Linked DNA regions of Alligator mississippiensis. The protein of the gene in region 3 interacts with the protein of the main gene of each other region in a biochemical or structural test. Links are inferred from orthologs where the notes say so. Each region holds a gene or a part of one and is shown on either strand. Other genes may lie near its edges. The genes, in order: MOB1B, AMOT and LATS2.

Region 1 (7,827 bases), on a different chromosome or scaffold from region 3:
AACAAAGCAGTGGACCAATTTTTCTTTTCTTCTTAATTCAGTAACTTCTCTCAAGACAGTAATTTTAGACATTATATATAAACAGCAACAGACAGAATTTTCCCAAAATAAATGTGATTTCAAACTTGAAGATGTTCCTTGATTTCTTTCTTTGTACGTTGATAAGAATCAACCCAATACATTTTCTCCTGACAGCTAACTATCCCCTAACAATAAAATGGAAAAACCCTGTCCCTGATCAATAAAAACTAAAGATACTCTGAATTTCTCTGAGATCTTTGGCTTCCTGAATAATTAAGTCCTGTACGAATATCAGTGTTGGATTACTGGAAAAAACAGTCAGCAAGGGAAAAAATGTGGCTTCTGATACTGTGCTTCAGTGGCAAACTTGAGAATTACAGAAAAGTTTCTGAAGATACAACCTGTACTCATACGTAAGGTTGGTGCAACACCATATGGTACGGTTACTAAAAGCATTCATAACAAAACCACTTCAGATGAATACAGAAAAAAAACCCCACAAAACACATAACCAGTTGGAGAAAGACAACACAGGTACGACTGGAGTGCAGAGTGGGGGGAAAAACACCACAAAAACCTACACCTTTGCTCCTGAACAGTGATCAATTTTCTTTATAAAGTTGTATCTGTACAAAAGTGCATTTGCTTTGTGGCATAAAATGCAACACTGGGCTACTGAATACATAAAAATGTTCATGTTATATAACAGTTTGCATATCTTTACAGATAACCAAGATAATAAATAGTTAACAAGCAAGCAAACAAAAATGTAAATTTTGAGTAAAACAAACACTAACCTTTTAAGGTAATATTTAAGAGGAAAAAAAGGAAAAAAATATTTGCCAAATAATTGTTTCTAGATCGTACAATCTGAAAGATAACCCTCAAAATGTTAATAAGTTGGGTCTGCAGACTCAGTAGGTAGCACAACTCCAATAGCTTAGCCAAGCCCATATGAATGGGTATCAAGATCACAGATGCAGCAGGACAAGACAAAACACTCGAAGCTAGGGAAAAATAGCAGAATAGCAGAGACATGCTTTAGCTGACCCCAAAAGCCAGAAGGCTCTGGAAAAAGAAATGAAACCATAAACTAATTTTTCCCTCGCAGCAGCTAGAAGAGGGTGGAGCATCATGTTTTTCAGAAAGCAATTGGCCAAATGCTGAGATTTATGAAGTTCTAACGCTCAAACCAGAATTCAAGGACAACATCCTGATAAAAATCCTGTCACCCTCACATCTACCAGCAAACAAGGAGTATAGTGTAGCTAGGCATTGCTTTGGATCAGTGGTTCTCAGCCTTTTTTGTACCAGGATCCATTTGTAAACATTGATAGCCAGTCCTAGCCCAGTGCCCCTCACTCCCGACCCATTGCCCCTAGACTCGTAGTGCGTGGGGCACGAGGGAGTCCCAAGCAGCCCCTCGCAGGCTGGAACTCTGCCAGCCTGCAAGGGAAAAGCTGCGGTTCCCCACATTTTGCTCCTTTAAAGGAGAATCCATTTTTAAAGTTTGTTGATCCATTTTTTGAGTTTGCTCACAACCCTTTCATGTATTGTTGTGGCCTATTTTGGGATCATGACCTGCAGGTTGAGAAATGCTGTTATAACACTGATATCATTGGAGGCTTAAACATATGCTTAAATTTAAGCACAAATGAGTCTTGTTGGATCAAGCCCCATGTGGAGTTTAACTATATGGGGGTGGCTTTTTCAGCTGCCATTTTCCCCATTTTTCCCTGGAGGGTACCCTCTGATTAGTCACTAGGTCACTGAACCCATTTACATTAATTGTCTTAAGTACCTTGTCTCCACTCCCAAGGGGAGGGAACAAAGTTCATTTAGTTCCACTCGGGTCCACAAAGCTAAATAGCAAAACCATAAGTCTTGTGATCTGTCATTATTTCCTATGGAAGCTTTGTATATATTTCCAGTAAACAACAGCCTTCTTATTAGCAACATCCATCCAGCCTGAATCCTCTTACCCCCTTGGCTTTATTGTAGTATATACATCTCCTGCATACAGAGTATCCGAGCCCAGACTTCAGTTTTAATTCCTAATGTTTACTACAGCAAAATAAGCTACGTTCACACACACCAGCCTCTATGCCTCATATTAAAAACCCATAGAGGAAAGAAAACACGGTGTTGGTTCCAGTCGAGGAGAGGAGAAAAGGGTCTCATTGTCTGGTACCTACACATTGCCGTTCCACAAACTGGCTCATAAATGCATCATCCGTACAGCCCCCCAACTACACCGCATTTCCTCACAAAGCAGGTACCCGTCCCTCCGATTCGGAGCAGGCTTGGCAGAAACACCATTTGAGAAGCTCTCCCTCTCCTCTCCATTAACAGGGGCAAGGGTTTGTTCTCTGTCACCTTGAAGGCCCCGCGCATTCGAGGGATTTTTTATTGTTTTTTTTAGCAGCGCACTGTCAAGCTCAAGGAGCAAAGTGTGGCCGCGCGCTTCCCCAGGGCGCAGACGGCCGGTGCCGTGCCCTCCCCGTGCCCCGAGACGCATGCGGACGGCTGGGGTCGTGGGCCCCGAGGAGTCACAAACTTCCCCTTGCAGAGACCCAGCTTTCCTGTGCTGGGCTTGGGGGAAGCCCGGCCATGGGGAGGCGAGCACGGGCCGCGGCGAAGCTGCACAGAGGCGTCGGCGGCCCGCTCTGCCCGCGGCCGGGACCGGGGCCGGCTCGGCGCCCGGACACAAAGCGGGGCCGCGGCCGCATTGTCCGAGTCGGGCTCCTCACAGGCGGCCCCAGCGCCGCGGGCTGGCGGGGCGACTGCCCGGCACTACGGCTGTCCGAGGCCCACGCCTCAGGGGGCGGGCGGCGGACAGAGGCTGCAGCAGGACCGCACGGCAGCCCAGGGCCGGCCGCGACCATTTCCTGCCGGCTGGAGAGGAGGGGAGGGACAGGCCGGGGCTGCCCCCTGCGGGGTGGGCGCTACTCACAATAAGAAGCTCATGGCGATGGCGGCAGAGCGGGCCCGGCGGCTCCCAGCGGCGGCGCAGGGCGGCGTGTGGGGGCGCCGCGGGGGCGGGGCGGGGCGGGGCGCGGACACCGGCCGCCCGGGGCCGCCTCCAGCCCCGCCCCGCCCCGCCCCCACGTTGCCCGGCACCCGCTCCACACGGGCCCGGGCCGGGCACCGCCGCTGCTCTTCCGCAACGTGCCGCCGCCGGCCCTGCTCGCTTCTCACCTACTCCAGACACCTGCCATCTCCAGCCCCGAGCCTTTCCCAAGCCCTGAACGTCCCCGTCCTTGACTGATGCCATCTTGGCCGAGATCTGCCCAAAACACCGCGGGTCTCTCCACTAGCACTGCTTCCTTCCTCACCCGCCCAGCACCCGCACCCCAAAGCCTTCATTAGCCCCATGGGCTGCTGCTAGGGGCGGCGCATGCTCCCCCCCACGTTGGGCTGTCCCCCAACGCCAACACCGGCTTCTGTGGGTGCTCACGGTCCCCAACGCTGACACCAGTTTCTGCGGGTGCCCCCCCAGACTCGGGGCACCAGTCACCTCTCCCACCTAAAGCCCCATCTACTTTTTTTTCCGAGAAAAAGACCTCACTGCCTTCTTCTTGCCATCTCTGAACTGCGGCCAGTCCTCCCCAGCTCCGATGCCTGTAGCACCACCTGCCAGTGGGAAAGTCTAGTCACCTGGGCAGTAGATTGGGATCCTGAACACCTCAGTTTGGTTCTCAGCGCAGTCACAAGGTTTCCATTTATCCTTAGGCAAGTCACTGAATCCCTGTCTCCCAGCCTCTCCTCTGCTACGTGGATAGGGCTTGTCATCTCTGTATTTCACAGAAGTGGGATTCTGAAGCTAAGGTCCACGAATCAGAATCACAGAGAAGCAGGGCTGGAGGAGACCTCCAGGGATCAGCACGACCAACCCCTGCCTGAGGCAGGACCATTCCTATCTAAACCATCTGATGTAAATCCATTGGACAGCCTGTCCAAAACTGCACAGTCAACCCTGACAATACGAGACATAACATCCTAACCTGCCACAGGTAAAGCAGGAGGGCCGAGGCAGCCAAGGTCCTGCTTCTGTAAAGGTTAATATACACTCAAGAGATCCCAGGAAGAGGGTTGTGCCCCCTGCTACAGAGAAAAGCAACACTGCCCCCCCAGCCCACACCAAACTGACCCTGGAAAATTCCTTCCTGACCCCAAATATAGTGATTGCTCTGATCCTGAGCAATGGTGCAAAACTCTCCAGCCAGGATCCTCCAGGTTTAAGTCCCACCAGGAGCACTGGCACACCACAGTCAAAATCCCCAGCCTTGGCTGCAGCCAACACTCAGTACCCCTGAAGAAGGCTTAAAAAACCCTGACCGGGTGGGGGGCAAAATTCCCTCCCAGCCCCATGCAGCAACCAGCAAAATGATTGTGAGGCAACGGGACACTGTGGGGACAAGTGAGGATTCTTTACAACAAATGGACTTATTAACTTATTTTGAGGCCCCATTTCCCACTCCGCACTTTCCACAAGACATCCAAACACTTTCCCATTCAAACTCTTTACCATCTTCCCATAGGCCTTTCTTAAAACTCAGAGTCCCTTTAAACCTCAGTGCTACCTCAAACACCAAATCCTTCTCAAAATATCCTATCTCCAACAGCAAGGTCTCCCAATGCCCACTTCTCCTAACACCTCAGTTCAGATCGTGTGGACTGAGAACATTATCATAGGAAGTTCAGATAAGCCTCTGAAATTATCCCATGTCGGCTTGTTTAGACCCCAAGTGTAGGCCCCTTTGCTAGGCAACCTTCCTGTTTAATAGAGCAATGCACTAGAGCTGCTGGGTACATTTACACTTACGAGCAGTTGCAGGACAATCATGAAAAATACATAATGTTATACTGTAGCCTAGCTGTGCTCCCTCACTCCCAAAGGGAATTTAATAACACATTGATATCCTGGGAGCTAAGTTTGCAGGACATAGGAATGCATTATTTTTCCTCTATAGCACCAGGTACTTCAGAAATATTTATGATGCCTCATAGATTCCTTTATGAGATAAGTAAATAATATTATCTCCATTTTGCTGGTAGGGAAGCTATAGCACAGAAAGGTTGAGGTACTTGTTCAAAGGAATTCTGTGCATTTCTGCTCTACTACATTTATGATACTGTCTCCTTTTCTACATAAAGACATCAAAATGGCTTTAAAAAAATTAACCAAGCCAGCAAACCCAGGTTAGCAGGCAATCTTGAACCAAATCAGCAAAAGCCAGGAGCCAGTTAGGACCACACCTCTGAATTAAAGATAAGGGAGTTACAACATACTTCAGTTTGTGCAAACTGATTCCTGCCTTGAGGCTCTGGGCAAACTGCCAATACTGCCTTTACCTGACCCATGCCTTAATGATTTTTCCCCTAAAGAAGCACGGAGGGGGAGTGTGTTCCCCTATTTACAGGGGGTTTATGCGCACACACATGAGTATGTATGTATGTACATATGCATGTTTGTGTGCATGCGCACACATACGTGCGTGCGCGCGCACACACACACACACACACACACCCCTTTTCAAGTAATAAATGCAATCATAGTATTTGATTGCAAGAGGAACTAGATTGAATCATGGTTTCTTTAAAGAGAGCCACTCCTTTGAGATGCTAGATGGGAACTGAGGGTGCATAAAATATCTCAAGAGGTGCCCAGTAGCTCAAAAAATATAGATCAAAGCACTGAAGAATAGCATCAAGTTACATTTTGGATCTCTATGAAATATGTCTTGGGTCTCTCTCCCTTCTATAACAATTTGTCTAACTCAGGAATGAGGCTCCCATTGTCTTGTGGGTTTCTCACTCAGTTGCTGCATCTGTTCTAGTGTAAGCCAAAAAGTAAAAACATATGGAATGGTTTAGAATAAAATATTAATTGCATTAATGTAAAAAAGGAAGCAAAACAGTTCTATGGTGATATATCCAAGTGCTGGTTTACAGCAGAAAATGCAATATAAGGCTATAGAAATCATGTGAAATGTTATATCTGTGTAAGTGAATGACACAAAATTCCTGATGACTTCTTGGGGGCTCCAGTTGAGTCTAGAGTCCACACATATAAGACAAGGTGCAACTTTCCAGGTTGTTGTAAGGCAAGTTAGATATTGCTGAAAGATTTCAGAATTTAACTTAGAATGTTTAAGTTTGTATAGGATCCATTCTAGATTTTTCTGAACAGTTACAACCTTCTGTCTTCCTTCTGCATTCAAATGCTCAGATGGACTTTTTGTGTTCCAGGCTAAGTCCGAATATCTGTCTGGAGCATCTCTGAGCAACTGATAATTATGTTTTCAAATGCTGTATTTAAGACAAGTTGAACATATAAAAGTCTGTTGGGTGACTGGAGATAATCAGATACTGTTTCACATGATATTGTATTTTGTTCCCCTTTTGGGCACTGCTAGTAAAAACACATTATTAAATGTGGGATTCAGTATATTTTTGATAATTAATATCAAGATAATATGGTAGAATTGGTGGCTAGGTAAATGATGTTGTATACTTAAAAAAAGGTTACAAACTCCTTTACCAAATTCTGGTGTATTCATGTTTGACTAGGGGTTCTACCAAACGGCTGACCGAATTCATGGGCAGATCCTGGGTCCAGCTGCCATTTTCATGGGCTGAGCACAGCAGTCTCCCATCCCCGTCCCCCACCTGCCCACATCTCTGATTGGCCAAGGGGCCCTGCCAGTCCCGCTCCATCCCTCCCCACAGATTGCCAGATGGTTTGAAACTTGATGTAATTACCCTGATTAAGCCCAGGGAAGTCATTAATCCACACATTATTAAGCATAGATTAATGTTTTCCCAGGTTTAATCAGGGTAATTAAGGTTTCTGGCCATCACCAAGCTGGACTGTGGTCCGGGTCTGGGTCTGGGTCTGGTTGGTAGATGGAAAGCTGCAAGCGGCTGCACCAGGGTCTGCAGGGCCTCGGCATGGCTTGTTGCCACCAGCAGGTGCACGCGCACAATGAGCTATGCCAAGGCTCTGTGGACCCTGGTGCAGTCACTTGCAGCCTTCCAGATGCCTACCACAGCTGGCTCACAGCTTTGGTCCAGATGCTTGTGCAGCCTCGCCTCCCCATCCTCCACCCGTGCCCCCTGCTGTCTGCCTGACCTCCGGCCTGCCCCCTGCCCTCCACTGTCCTCCTTCCACCACCATGCTCCCCACCTTCCTTTCCTACTCCAAGACTGAAGGGCTTTTCACTCTCCTCTGCTTGCAGGTAAGTTGTTGGGGTTTTTTTGCAGCGAGCCTGCTGTTTTTCACAGAGCCCACCATTTTCTGTGGAGCCCATCTGAATTTGCAGTTTCTGTGGAAATCACACAATCATGAATTCAGTAGGTTCCTACTAATAACCTCCATCTCCTCCCCCCAAAAGTATTCTTTCATCTTAATTTCAGAAGCAAGCTAAATAAAAAAGCCTGTTACTGAAGCAGTCTGTAGGAAACATTTTGCTTTAAGTGTCATGAGAAATAATTGCATAACTTATATATTTCATGTCTTATGTTCTTATGTCTTATTGTTCTATTTGTACCAGGGAAGAGTCAGCAGGGATGCTTACACCAGATGCTGAGGATATGAGGGACTGGCAGCATACTGCAGTGTTATGTAAGTGTAGAACTATTTAGCTCTCAAGTAAAGGCAAGTTAAATCTAGCAGTGGCCTCACATCTGTCAGTTTGGGTTATCTGCTGTACCACATAACATAAAGAATTATTTTGAAAGGGTTCTAAAGCTGAAACGTGAAAAAATGCTTTGGTTCGAAATGGAAGTTTTCATGTTTTATTG
Region 2 (7,029 bases), on a different chromosome or scaffold from region 3:
AGTCTGATGAATGTAAAGTAGGGGTGCACTGATAGAGATTTTGGGGACCAATACTAATAGCCGATTTTTAAGGAGACATATTGACCAATACTGATCCGATTTCTGATACAGCTGCATGCAGCTGATAAGTCATTTGTGATGGATGGGGATGGAGGAGAGAAGGGACATGGGGTGGGGGGGAGGGCAGATCAAGGCCCCACAGTGAGGGAGGGAGTGGGGCAGGGGCTTGGGTAGGCACTACCCAGCCGGGGTGGGGTGGGGCACTGGACGGAGCCATGGCTCATCCGGGAGACACAGGGTAGGGGGTGGCTCCCACAGCTGCACGCACCCCAGAAAGGTATGGGGTCATGTGCCCCTGGATCTGTATGGGAGGGCTGCAGCTGTGGGCTGGGGCTACACCAGGCTCTTCCCAGCATGTGGTGGGAGGGTTGGGCCAGGGCTGCACTTGGGGTGGGTGGTGGCAACACTGGGAGGGAGTTATGGGGGGCTGCAGCCACCCCAAATTTCACTGTACCCCCCTCCCAGCACCACAGCTGCCCATCCTAAGCACAGCCTCGAGGACAGCCCCAAGCACAGCCTCCATGCACTGGGAGCACAGCCCCCACAAACCAGGAAGAGCCCGGTGCATCCCCCAGCCCACAGCTACAGCATACCTTGCCTCCCACCCCCGTGCAGAACCGGGGGCATACGCACTCCCCATGCCCTCCCAGGGTGCACACCACGGTGGGAGTCTCCTTCCTCCCTGCATCCCCCGGACAAGCTGCAGCTCCATCCCACACCCTGTCCCTGCTCCTGCCCCTGCCCCGCCCCACTCCCTCCCTCCATCACCGTTGGGGTGTTGATCTGCTTCTCCCCACACCCCTTCCCTCCCCTGTCCCCGTCCACCACAACAGACTTACCAGCTGCACACAGGTCTCCAAGCTGCCGGGCTGTACTCCTAGCTGCCTGCGTGCTGCTCTGCGACTGCATGCATGCACGGGCATTTACTGGCCACATTATTGGCTGCATCAGCCTGATTTCCAATACAATCCATTTTCTTTATATTGGTGCCAATCCAATATTAGATCAATGTATTGGTGCACCTCTAATGTAAAGGGCTTGTAAGGACTGAAGAAACCGAGCAGAATCTTGGTGTAGATGCTACAGGGTTTGAGGACTAGGATGACCTAACACCTTCCCAAAGACTCTGGAGGACTCAGGAAGAGGAAAGAAGGGCAGCTGCCTTCTCTGAAATACATTCCCTGTGGGGGTGGTGCAGGTATCTACCCTGGAGATCTTCAAAAGGAGACTGGAAGCTCACCTTGCTGAGTTATTTGACCCCAGCAGTTTGTCCTGCCTAGAGCAGGGGGTTGGACCTAATGATCTCACAAGGTCCCTTCCAGCCCTAAACTTCTGTGAATCTTTAGACTTGAGAGGGGAGGGAGAGAAAAGGATGCATCCTCCATCTGGACTGTGGGAGATGGAGGAAGAAAGGGGAGCTGCATAACCTCAGTATTGCTCAGTGCTTTAAGGCAAGACAACACTTTCTCCACTCTCCCATTCTTGTCCATGTACTGTAGAGTTCATGAATAGTCCACAGTCCTGCTGAGAGGCAGGGAAGGATTATCACCTCTGTAGAGATGAAAAACTAAGGAGGCACAGAGGAGAGGGAAGCAAATTGTCCTAGGTCACAAAAGGAATCTGTGACAAACCTGGTAGTGAACCCAGGTTACCAGGACCCTGATCCAGTGCCTCAGCCACTGAGCTATCCTCCCAGCCATGAACAACATGTGCCTCCTGAGGCTGGGGGAGCACGGCGACTGCCCACAGGCAGCAGTGGTGGTGTTGGCGGTGGTGTCAACGGCAGGTGCATGGCAGTGGCGAGTGGGGACCGCCTGCAGGTGGCTGTGGTGACATCGGTGGCAAGGGCGGGCCGAGCAAGGACCGTCCGCAGGTGGTTGTGGCAGTGTCGGTGGTGAGCGAGGGGGGCTGGTGAGCAGTGACCACCTGCAGATGCCAGCGGCAGTGTCAGCAGCGGCCAATCTCAGGAGGGGCGTGTGCCCCCCCTGTACCCTTCCTATGCATCACCTGTGCTCCCAGCCCATTTTTATCTCTGGCCTCTAGGCTGTGAGTGTGGAGGGTGAGCGGGCAAGAGGGACAGGGGTGCCTTTCTGTGGACACAGGGAGAGAAATATGGTGAGGGAAATATGGCTCTTCTCTGGCCACGTAGGCTGGGAAGGAGTGGGCGAGAGCCTGCATCCCTCTAGACTCTGGTGGCAGGGACAGAAAAGGAACCAAGTGGCAAGGCTCTCTCTGAAATGCAGGGGGTAAGAGGTGGGCAGGGCTGTGCAGGGGGGAGCAGGGAAGCACATATCTCTCTGGGGACCTGATGGAGGGGGAGGGCAGGGCAGGGCTGCTCTGTCTGGGGTGAGGAGGAGGGCACCGCACTCCCACTCCAGGTTCTGTGGGGAGGGGAGGAAACCAGCAGGGCTTTCTTCTCCCCATGGGAGGTAGCAGCACATTCCTGTCTCAGCAAAAGCTTTGGAGATTAAAGCCCGGGAAAGGGAGAAGGGGGAGGAGAATGACTGAGTGGCTGCATCCACCATCCCCAGCCCTCTCCCCTTGTGTGAGTGGACACAAAGTAGTTCAAAGGGCAGCAGCAGAGAGCCAGGCAGCGCCTTCTTCCTTCCCCCTGCGCTGCTGGGGGCTGCTCCCCGGCTGCACCTGCAGCCTCCCCCTGCCTCTGAGCCCGCAGCATGCCCCATGCATAACAAACCAGCAGTGCAATCAGCCCAGCAGGCAGGCAGAGGATGTCTGCCAAGGCAGCGGCTGGACAGAGCCAGGTACAGTGCAGCCAAGCATCAGGGAGACCCTCTCCTGCCCTCCGCACCCCACAGGGCAGTGCCCTGGCTCCTTACCCCATGGGCCCTTGCCCCAGCAGCATCCCATTCATCCATCTTGAGCCTCTTCCCCTGGAGGTGACAAAGGCAGCATAACAATGAGAGACACCGAGGAGCTCTGGGAACTGCCTACCCCAGATTCAGTTATTAACTTTCATCAGGCAGCTCCGACTAGGACTCCCAGAAGAGCTCGGTGCGAGCCTGCACCGCACGGCCTGCTGGGAACTGTAGTTCTCAGCTGCACCACAAGCTGTTTCCATCTCAGCCCTGGCTGTGCGGTGGGGCTCGGGGGTCCAGGCCAGGTCCTAATGGATCAAAAATGGGCCAGGTCCTAATGGGTTAAAAACAACCAGGTGCTGGGGTTTTTATGCACAAAGAGCAGCCTTATTACTTGGAATGATTTATGTCAGAGTAACAGAGAGGTCACCAAAGCACGGTGCATGAGACAATTGTTTAGGTCTTCCTGGGGAGCTGGCAACTCCCTTGGTGCTGGCTCTGCTCCTTTCCAGCTGTTACATCCATGTTAAGGACCAAGATTTTAAATGCCATCCTGTAACATCCCTATTCCCTGCAGTAGTTGCACCGGGGAATGGGAGGGGTGCTGGTGATGAGAAACTGCTGGTTAAAGCAAACCTCAGATGATGGACGTGTTTGAGGCGCTAAGGAGGGAAATAAAGTGAGAAATGGGAAAGGACAGTGTGAGCTCTCATGTCTGTCTACTCTATAACCTGCTGACTGGAATATGGCTGCTGCCACTGCAGTTTCCTAAAGGTGTAATGCAGGGCTAATGATATTTTAAGAACTGCACACTTCCCATATCACAGCCCCGGCAGATGACAATATTTGGCCTCTTTGATGGTGGACTCATCAGAGGACAGTAAGGACTGTACAGGTCAGGTTCTCACTTCTAAAGGTGCTTAACCAAGTCACGGGTGACCCGTGTGCACACAGTTGATGCAGTACTGATGTTACCCATGACTGGAGACAGGTACTTAGCCCTGTTAGTCTGAGGTCAGGCAGAAAGCCTTCTACTTGTGATCTTTCGTTGTTAGTGTGACATTGCTTTGCACGGTGCTTTATACACAGAGAGACATGCCCTACCGTTGGCAATGCGTAGGGGGTGCACACAAGTGCACATGCACCCCCTGACAGAAGCACAACTGACACTGCCAGCGGGGCCTGCGGGCGGTCACCGCTCACCACCCCCCACCTTGCCACCTACACCGCCGGTGGCATCTGCAGGTGGTCACTGCTGCCAACAGCGTCTGCAGGTGGTCACCGACCACTGTTCAGTGCTCGCCCTCCCCGCCTGGTCTGCTCCACTGCCAACACTGCCATGGCTGCCTGAGGGAGCTCCCCGCTTGTCACTGCTATGCCCCCGCTGCCGTCACTGCCGCCTGCAGGCAGTCGTCGTGCCCCCCCAACCTCCAGGGGCACATGCCTTTCATGTCAATAATCTAATATATTTATAAATATAAAAACATGGACATTTCTTTCCACTGTAATGGGCTGGACATTTCTAGAGAGACTCGGGGAGGAAGGTGCTGACACTTCTGCCCTGATGGAGTTTGGTTTGTACACTTAAATGGTTTTCATAGGTTTAGTTTTTCGTTGATGGTATAGCATAAATGAAAGAATTCACTCTAAGTTGGTGTGAACGCAGCACCGAAGGCTAAGACTAAAATAATACAGTAGCCTTTTCAAGACTTTTATTTTAAAATATTGGCTAACTCCCAACAGCAAGGACTGCAGTTCTTCCTCTTTATTTATTTTGTTTGGTGGTTTCTATTGTTAAATATAGGCTGCACAAAATACCTTCCACAGCTCGTGATCTTTTTTTGGCACCCCATACGTTAATACAGATCTTCTATAGGATTATTTATATAGAGTTATATGTATTTCATGTTTAATGGTACTGAGCTATCATTTCCTCCCAAGCATATTCTAAATAAATATAATTAAAACATAAAAGGATGATGATTCATATCTAAAGGAATGTCATCATGAAGTGTACAGGGGTCATCTAGAACTGATACAAATCCAGCAGAGTATAAGAGGTTGTCATCAAAGGGACCTAATCCAGGTATTTATAAATATGTAACTACATATTTATAGATATTTATAAATATCTAACTACAGTGATATCTATGTGCTAAAACACTAATAAGGCTTGCCAAAAGTTTCAAATGTCTGGGACCTCTTACCTACCAATGTAATTAAATGCTGATAATGAAGTGGATATCTTTCATGTTCTCATGTTGGACCATTTCTCTATTTTGTTCTTCGGTGAGGCTGCATGGGTATCTTTTCCTCTGTTGTAGGATGGCCTACATAGAAGAAGATCTCAAATCAAAATCTAGGCACAGCGAGGTTTCAGAACTCTCAGGAGAGTGAGTTTCACAGGCTTGAATACTATAGCAATTAGATAAGCTAGACAGATACAGAAACGTTTTAAATTGTGCTGAACAAACTTTAAGAATGAGATGACAAAATGCTCTCACACTAAAAATCATTGCTTATGGGTGTTCCAGCCACGCTGAAGTTTTGACTGATTTTTCGAGAGGTGGCTTTGATGAAGAAAAAATATGTTTTTAGTGTTTAATGGCCACACACTGACCTTTCACTGTAAATACCAAGAAGGCAGCCACATCAGAAATGTTTGTTGTTACTCCATGGGAATCCAGGACATAGAAGTGCAAGAGTGACACTCCAATGAATTGTGCTGTCATTAGGCCTCACTCACCCGGCAGACAAGAAAGACTTGGTATAAATCCTGGTGGGGTATTTGTTTTTATAGTATTAGATTTTCAAAATCCATCGTCTTTCTGTGGATCACAGACTTGCTCCTTTCTTTACCTCTGCAGTGCTGCTGTGGGAGGTCTGCATCCCAGCCTACAAAACATGAATAATAGCTAAAAGCAAGCCCAGCAAATGTCTACATGGCTCCTGCTTGGTCTGGGCACCTGGGAGATTGAGGACGAGGAAAAACATGGTAGTTTAATTATTTCAAATTTATTTATCATTCTTCTCCCTGGATTCAGTAGACAATTCTATTTATTTATTTAAAAATTCAATCTGAATGTATATTTTCCCTGCTGCCTAGTACAAAGCCCATTGTCAGTGTCACAGTCACCACCTGTGAAAGGATAGTAAGTCTTGGTGACTGGGTGATTCCTGGCCTCTGGCTGTGGAAAGGTTTAGCTCACTCCCTCCTCCAAGAGAGACTCCTCCTGCCCTTGCTTAGTCTTTCCTGCCATGACTTTGATGGAAAATTTATAGGCGGTGATGTCTGGTCTGAGAACAGTCAATCCTTGAGCAGGGACAGTACCAAGAATGATCCCAGTCTCGTGCAGCACTGTGTCCTTCAGGACCAGCCAACTGATCTTAAGGGCCAAATTTTGAGAGCTCCTCCAGCCCCCTACACTCCTGCCTCATACCTCTGGTGATTTAATTACTTTAAGTCCTATCTTCACCCAGCCTTGTTGCTGTAGGTGCCAGATTTAGTTCCTGGGATACCCAAGAGTCTGTCCCTTATAAGGATAATTAAAAGTAAGCAGTTCAGCTACTCCTCACCTGTCCAATGCTTGGCTCGCTTCAGTGTCTGTTCACTGCCTAGCCTTAGTTCCTGGGGCTTCTTGGGCTCTCCTGCCAGCTTTCTGCTCCGATCAGGTGTGATCTTGGCTGCACAGCTTAGGCTTCTGATCCCTATGGAGGAAACGACCAAGACTTGATCAGCTGACTCCCGGCTTGGGTGCAGAACTAGGTGAAGAGATCTGGCCCTTCCCTTTCTCTGGACGATGACTCACGTCAATGTGGATCTCTGGCTTCAGTCTCTCTCCCTGTGAGTCTTCCCAGTTCAACTGGGTCTGGGTGAGGTACTGACCCCAGCTATCCTGATTCCGCGCTGGTTTGAGCATGTCAGATGGGTCGCAAATTGGCTGGAGGGCCACACCCAGAGAGTGGTGGTGGATGGGTCTTTTTTGATCTGGAGGGATGTGGGAAGTGGGATCCCCCAGGGCTCGGTCCTCGGACCTGCGCTGTTCAACATCTTCATTAGTGACTTGGATGAGGGGGTGAAAAGCACCTTGTTCAAATTCACGGATGACACTAAAATGTGGGGAGAAGTGGGCATGCTGGAGAAGAGGGACAG
Region 3 (7,203 bases):
TGATTCTGTTTGTTATGCATCTGCTGATGCATGATAAAGTGCCATTAGCTTTGCTGATGACTTCATCACACTGCCGACTCATGTTCATCTTGGAGTCCACTAGGACTCTGAGATCCCTTTCTGCTTCCGTGCTGCCAAGCAGGTCATTCCCTAGGCAGTAGGTGTGCTGGACATTTTTCCTCCCTAGGTGCAGAACTTTGCATTTCTCCTTGTTAAATCTCATTCTGTTGTTTTCTGCCCATTTGTCCAACCTGTCCAGGTCTGCCTGTAGCTGTTCCCTGCCCTCTGGTGTGTCCACTTCTCCACACAGTTTTGTATCATCTGCAAACTTGGACAGAGTACACTTCACTCCCTCGTCCAAGTCACTGATGAATACATTGAAGAGTATCAGTCCAAGGACCGAGCCCTTCAGGACCCCACTGCCCACGTCCTTCCAGGTCAATACCAACCCACCCACCACCCTGGGCAGGGTTCTGGGACTCCCTGTCCACCACCCTGAGCAATTCTGGGGCTCCCCCCCGGGTCAGCTGGGAATAGTGCTGGCAGGAGAGTCCCAATTTTGTATTTTTACTCCCTGCCTGGCTCCCTAGTGTCCCCCACTGGCCCAGGTGCTCCAGCCATGCCTCACTCCGATCCCCTCACCATCTGAAATGTGGTATGCCACACTCCTCATCATGAAATCCTGGAACCACCCATGCCTGAAGTCAATGGAGTTTTACTAACACTTCCTAGGCACTTTAAAAATCTGCCAACAAGGAACTAAGCATGACCAGTAAGACTATCAATAAGTTGCCTACCTCAATCTCTCACCAGTTAAATTCTTGCCACCAAATGTACCATCATCTTAGAAACAGAAGAAAAAAGAGCAGTGCTGCCATTGGACGATATAAATGTGCCCATGCACACACACATATGAAGAAAAGCAATCAGTGTGGCAATTATTGAGAAGTCTCCTCACCCATGTCCAAGAAACATTATGAAATTAAGATGGCAGGACAAAGTTCCAAATACTGGAGTGAGCAAATATGTGAAGCACAGGTGGCATGATTATAAAAGCACAGTCAAGATGGTCTGGCCATATAATCAGGATATCTTTAAATTAGCTTATTAAGAAATGCTTTATGCAGCACTGTGCTGTGGTAGATGTTGATGTGGTCCGATTTGTAGAAGATAAAGGATCTTCTAAAATGACCCTTCAGTCAAGGCAGTATTGATGTCTGAAGCTGGGAACAAAAGGCTTATGAATATGTTGCAGTGTTGTCCATGATGCTGGAAATGACTACGAATAGACACATCAAGAATGCAGCGGCAAAATCCAAAGTTTCAGGTTCAGGATCAGCCCTGCTAGTCTGCAGTATCCACCACTGTCTATTTGGTCTGTGACTACGTTGCAGACAAAAATCTTATTTTGCCACCCAAGAGTGCATCTCTGAATGCTTTTGTCAGAAGATGAAATGTGGTCATCATCAGCTACTGAAAATGATAATGATGAGTCCTCCTTATGCTGCAGAGGGACTATTTACATAAATAAGATCTACAAAATCAGGCCCGTCATTACTTCAGGACTTCCCCAGAAAGGTCCATTTTTTTCTCCTCACATGGTAGAGTTATATTAAAAGAGGACTACTCCCAATACTTATCTAGTTGGTTTCTAAGGATTTAACTGAGAATTCCCCTTCATGTATCCAGTTTCATGTACATCCTCAGTTTCATGTACAGCCTCAGATACATTACTGCACATTTTCAGTGTGTAAGTGCATGTGACTCTGATGTAGAACAATAGGGCCATGGTTAGTCCCACACACACCATACCAGACATTTTCCTCTTAGTTGCTACTCCAGGGCAGCAGGTTTTTAGACAAGGGTTTAATCTACTATCATTTATGGCACTGCACACCAACTTTCTTATTGCAACTAAAACTGCTGATAAATACACCTACTCTTGTCAAGCTACAACCATAATAATTGACATATACACAGCTTTATTTAGTATTGTACTGTTATACTGTGATTCACTAGACCCTAAAGAATGTGAAGACAATGCAATATGCTACATAACAAAAATTGATGTCATGTGAGCCATTCTACTTTTCTTGCTTTTAAAGATTGTGAGGAACTTGCAAAACTCTGTTCCTAAAATTATTCATTTTCATGTGGCAAGCATTGTAACCTTTGTGGCTCAATGTGCAAGTCTGCTCTATAACTATACTTTGCCTACAAGGTCATTACATGTCCACAATCTTCTCATATCTCTACACCACATTTGACCATTTTGTTCCACATGCTTGTGCTCAATTTATTATACTTTTTTTTCCAAGATCTTACATTGTACATGTGCCTTCAAGCAGTGGGCACTGCAGCAGGTGTTGCATAGTCTGAGGCTCTGTGCCACAGTCACAGGTGGTTGAACTAATGGTATAGCCCCACTTCTTCATTCATTTCTTGGAGCGTCCAACTCCATTGTGTAGGCGGTTGAGACATTGCTACCTTTGCCGTGGCTCATCGGCCCCTGGTGGTAAAGATGTAGACACCAGAATATCCATTTTTTCGCTTGCAGGTATATTTTCAGCTTCTTGTTTCATATCCATAGTCATGTCTCCTTGAGTGTGGCATCAAGAGGTTGGGTGCTGGTAAGAAAGCTCCTGTATGACTTCAGTCACTTGTGTGCTGTGGGATAGTTGTACAGCGGGTGTCTTACATCTTCAGACTGTCTCAATTTTTCTATCCTGCTGGCCACTGTTCTTCTGATGTTAGGTGGAGTGATGTCAGCCAACAGATACACACTATTTAGGCCCACAATGTAATAGCTGTTACAAAATACCTGGGAAGTGTTAAAATATGCTATGTAAAACCACATTTTCTAACTGCTGCTCCATGTATATTGCAATACCTGTTAACTATTTTGTCTTAAAGAAAGGAAATGCCTTGTGCTGAGAATTTATATTATGTGATGTTTTAACTCAAAATGAAATAACAGTTCTTTTATGACAACCCACCTCCTTCAAGATGCACTGCACAATAGAAATGGGGACATCACCCTAACAAAAGTGACAGGCATAGTTCTAGTAAAACCAAATGTCCTGGAATCATAAAATAGAGCAAGAGAAAGTAGGAACTTAGATGCTGGTTTTTTTGAAAGAGTGAATTGCATCTTTTCAGCTGTTGACTGAAAAGGAATTCTTTATCTGGCATACTGAGTGATAACTACTATAATTTGACACACACAAATGGGTTTTGCATCCAGTACATTCTGGCCCATTAAAATCAAAGTTTGGCCATTGACTTCAGGGAGGGTAGTTTTCACCCTTCATTCTCTTTCAGTGCAATGTCAGCATTATACAGGTCATTTGTGAACAAATGTAAAACTCACATAAAATCTAAAGCAAGTTCTTTCTGACCAACATAATTGACCTGCTATTCATATGGATCCTGGGGAATAACAGATTCCAAATACATCTCATCTAGAAAGTTTGGATGTGGATGCAAATGTCTAGTAAATGGAGATATTTCAAACTGCCTTACAAGTACACTGGTCTCTTTTTCACATGCTGCCCATAAGTAAAAGGCTGTGCATCTTAGAAACAAATTAATCAATTGCAGAACAATCTGCAGGAAACTGTTGTAAACAAGCTGAAAGGAAATCTTTTATTACAGATGGCTTTAGCAGGTACAGCTTTGGTTTAATAAAACTTTATTGGACTGGCTTAGGCTTTGTAACCCCCATTGCAAAAATAAGATTAATTCAAATATACTTTAATCAAGCCCTCAAAAATTTGGATTACTCATGAACAAGCCTTGTTGTCACAGCCATAATGATGTGCATTCAATACCATGCTGCCTTGCTTAATGGGATCTGTCAAATAAGAGAAAATGTCCCTGCTAAATCAAAGACAAAATACAAACATCTCCAACTGATATATTTGAAAGCCTATCATTCAATGGAGTGGGATGTTAGGATTTCCTGATACATATATGTGGAAGTTGATCAGATGAGCAATTTGCATATTACTAAGTGTTGCACTGGAATGGAATGCCCTTTGCAGAGAAGTGAATTCCTTTGGGAGTTTGGTAGGTGGCGCTAAAGCCTGCACCAGTACTGCCATGCTAACGCCGTGGTTATCAACAACCAGTTCTGCACTCCGGATAATTTCTTGCACTAAACAGATAGTTCAGCTGTTGCTCTCTCCTAATTAAAGCAAATAACATGTTTCCCTCTCTTCCCCTCCCCCCACACCCCCCAAAAAAGATTCTGCTGTTTCCTGGAAGAGTCTTCAGTTCTCCATGACATAAAGAAAAACTGCTGGAATTTGGTCCTGCTGCTGACAAGGTAAAAATGTCAGGGATCTGAAGCAGAGGTACCGTTTTGATATGTTGTGCCAGTAGTTATAATTTACATCTAATCAATTACAAGCCTCTGGTGACAATATTTCCTTGTTCTAAGAATAGATCTTGAAAGTATTTTAAGAATTCTGGTTGTCATGCAATTAATAGCGCGCTTTGTTCTGAGTATAAAGATTTACTTGTTTGGAGCAGTAACCGTATTTTGCATGTAAAAAAGGGGAACGGGAGGGTTTTATTGCCAGCACTTCTCCTTACAGAGGGATGAATCACTTGCATTCTTGGCAGCCAAGCGCAAATTCACAAGAATGCTCAGTTTGATCAACTTCCTCCAAAACACTAAGCTTAAAGTAAAGAGGAGAAAAGAGAGTGAGAAGCTTGGATGGGCCCATATACAGAAGACATTACAAGATGGACATCTAAGCATGAAGACAATAAATCTAGTGTACAAACTGTTTTGCCCAAAGCAAGTCACTTGCTGTTACAGGAGTAGCCAGACTAAATTAAGTGAATAATACTGAAAAGAAAAAACAAAGCTGGAAAGAGCCAGAGGGGGAACACTCCAAAATGGGCAGAAATGTGGGATGTAGTGTCAAAAATTAGTTCAGTACAATTTAACAGTTTTATGTAGAGAATGCAAAGTTTCAGCAAAAAACCTCACCTTCCTTCCCCTATAATAATGGAAGATTGCATCAAAGATCCTAAGACTAAGAAACTCAAAATATATGAATGGGCTTAGTTAGGTGTAAAGAAATTCTTTCTTTCTTTCTTCCTTGTTGCTGGCTTTTGTTCCCTCACCCCAACACTCTGCCAGAATCCCATTTCTACATGTGGTACATGGGAGGTGTGTGGGAGTGGAGACACTAGCATTGTATCATTAACTGCATAGCAATTCCTTTGAGAGAGCTGTGGGGTCACCACTCCCAGTGGGAGTCAGAGCCTCAGACATGGATGCACCTGAACTGGTTGCCAGGACATGTTGTGTTTTCCCTATCTTTGTGGTGGTTTAGGAACAGATTAGACAAACATCTGTCAAGGCTGGCCTAAGTATATCTGATCCTGGATTAGAGCCGGGGGATGGATGAGATGACCCCTTGAAGTTCCTTCATTTCTATGATTCTATAGATCTCTGCAAGAAAGGGTTGTTTTGAGGGAGATGTTCATTATGGGTTTCCTTGCACGGCAAAGTGACAAATTATATTGCATGGCAGACATAGGAGCCGGTTGTAAATAAGGTTTCCCAGATCTGGCCGTGCCAGCCCCACCTGCAGCTCCCACTGACTTTGAAGGGGTTTGAAGAGTGATCTTCCCCCTCTATGCGGCACTGGTCAGGCCGCAGTTGGAGTACTTACTGCATCCAGTTCTGGGTGCCGCACTTCAGGAGGGATGTGGACAGCATTGAGAGGGTCCAGAGGAGTGCCACTCACATGATCAGGGGGCAGCAGGGCAGACCCTACAAGGAGAGGCTAAGGGACCTGAACCTGTTCAGCCTCCACAAGCGAAGGCTGAGAGGGGATCTAGTGGCCTGTTACAAACTAGTCAGAGGGGACCAGCAGGCATCAGGGGAGTCCCTGTTCCCCCGAGCACTACCAGGAGTGACTAGAAATAACAGTCACAAGCTGGCAGAGGGTAGATTCAGACTAGACATCAGGAGGCGCTACTTCACAGTCAGGGCGGCTAGGATCTGGAACCAACTTCCAAGCTAAGTGGTGCTGGCTCCTACCCTGAGGGTCTTTAAGAGGAGGTTAGACGAACACCTTGCTGGGGTCATTTGACCCCAGTACTTTTTCCTGCCATGGCGGGGGGTCGGACTTGATGATCTGCTCAGGTCCCTTCCAACCCTACCAACTATGAAACTATGAAACTATGACTTGAATAAAGAATAGGAGGAGCCAGTTCTTTCTTTTCTCTGCATACTCAGCTGAGGTGAAATGATATGCAAGTGATCTAAGGAAGGAAGCAGTTTCCACTGGTGCCATCTTGCTATTCCCACTGCCTTATGTTTCATCAGATTCATAATTTGAGTTTCACAGTTTGAGGCTGTGTCTTGTAACATGCAGATTGGACCCCATTCCTGGCCAGCTTTAGGAATCTTTGCTTTGGCTCCTGCAGCTGACTCCTTTAGTAACAGGAGAAATTCTCAGAAACAAATGGTCAGAGTTCCGCTGCAGCAAAGTGTCTGCTGCTCAGGGGAGGTGGCCAGCTCGGAGACAGGATGCCGGCTGAATAACCCTCCATTCCTGAAGAGGGTGGTCCCTAAAGGTCAGGGTTGGCTTCAATGGGGTGGCAGTGTAAGAGGAAGTTGGCTCAGAGGGTGCTTTCATAAGGCTTGAACTATGAATAAATTCAGTCTCTTGTATTCTCCATTCCCAAGTATTAGTCACTCAGAAATATGAATAGGAAAATAAGGTTAGTGAGAACAATCCTGTTACTGGGCATTTATTATGTATTTCTTTCTTTTGTCTCAGACAGGGGACTTTGTGCAATAGATAAGGCCTCTTGTTGCTGCTTGAGGGGAATATGTACATGTCAGCTGTGCTAGGAGCAGAAATTTAAGTGTGTCCCAACGTAAGGCGCATAGGCAAGGCATATAGGCAGCCATCAGCTCTCTGACATCACAGCAAATCGTTTATATTGTAAATTATGACCCTGCCTTATACATTAAATGCTCTCCTTGGCACAGTGAAAAACTCTCAAGGAATTTATACTTGCACCAGGCATTGTACAGGTTCATATTTGGGTGAGCCTGCCCAACCAGGCCCATCCACAGCAACACCACCTGGTGCATGTGTGTGAAGATGAGGCAGAAGGTAGATCAGCTAAGATACTGGACTAAAAAATACTGGGCTGCTATACCTCTGACTC

The links.
Region 1: the proteins of LATS2 (region 3) and MOB1B form a complex in vitro, tested with the Homo sapiens proteins (2 studies listed by BioGRID). The link is inferred for Alligator mississippiensis from reciprocal best matches to the Homo sapiens genes LATS2 and MOB1B.
Region 2: of the proteins of LATS2 (region 3) and AMOT, one has a biochemical effect on the other in vitro, tested with the Homo sapiens proteins (3 studies listed by BioGRID). The link is inferred for Alligator mississippiensis from reciprocal best matches to the Homo sapiens genes LATS2 and AMOT.

What each region holds. Positions count from the first base shown.
Region 1 is NC_081825.1:168,294,547-168,302,373, forward strand, and holds the start of MOB1B (MOB kinase activator 1B), read right to left. Parts: upstream 3,060-7,827; 5' UTR 2,989-3,059; coding exon 2,975-2,988; intron 1-2,974. UniProt on the Homo sapiens protein: Activator of LATS1/2 in the Hippo signaling pathway which plays a pivotal role in organ size control and tumor suppression by restricting proliferation and promoting apoptosis.
Region 2 is NC_081831.1:66,324,344-66,331,372, reverse strand, and holds the start of AMOT (angiomotin), read right to left. Parts: upstream 3,003-7,029; 5' UTR 2,898-3,002; intron 1-2,897.
Region 3 is NC_081824.1:433,394,209-433,401,411, forward strand, and holds the start of LATS2 (serine/threonine-protein kinase LATS2), read left to right. Parts: upstream 1-4,203; 5' UTR 4,204-4,327; intron 4,328-7,203. UniProt on the Homo sapiens protein: Negative regulator of YAP1 in the Hippo signaling pathway that plays a pivotal role in organ size control and tumor suppression by restricting proliferation and promoting apoptosis.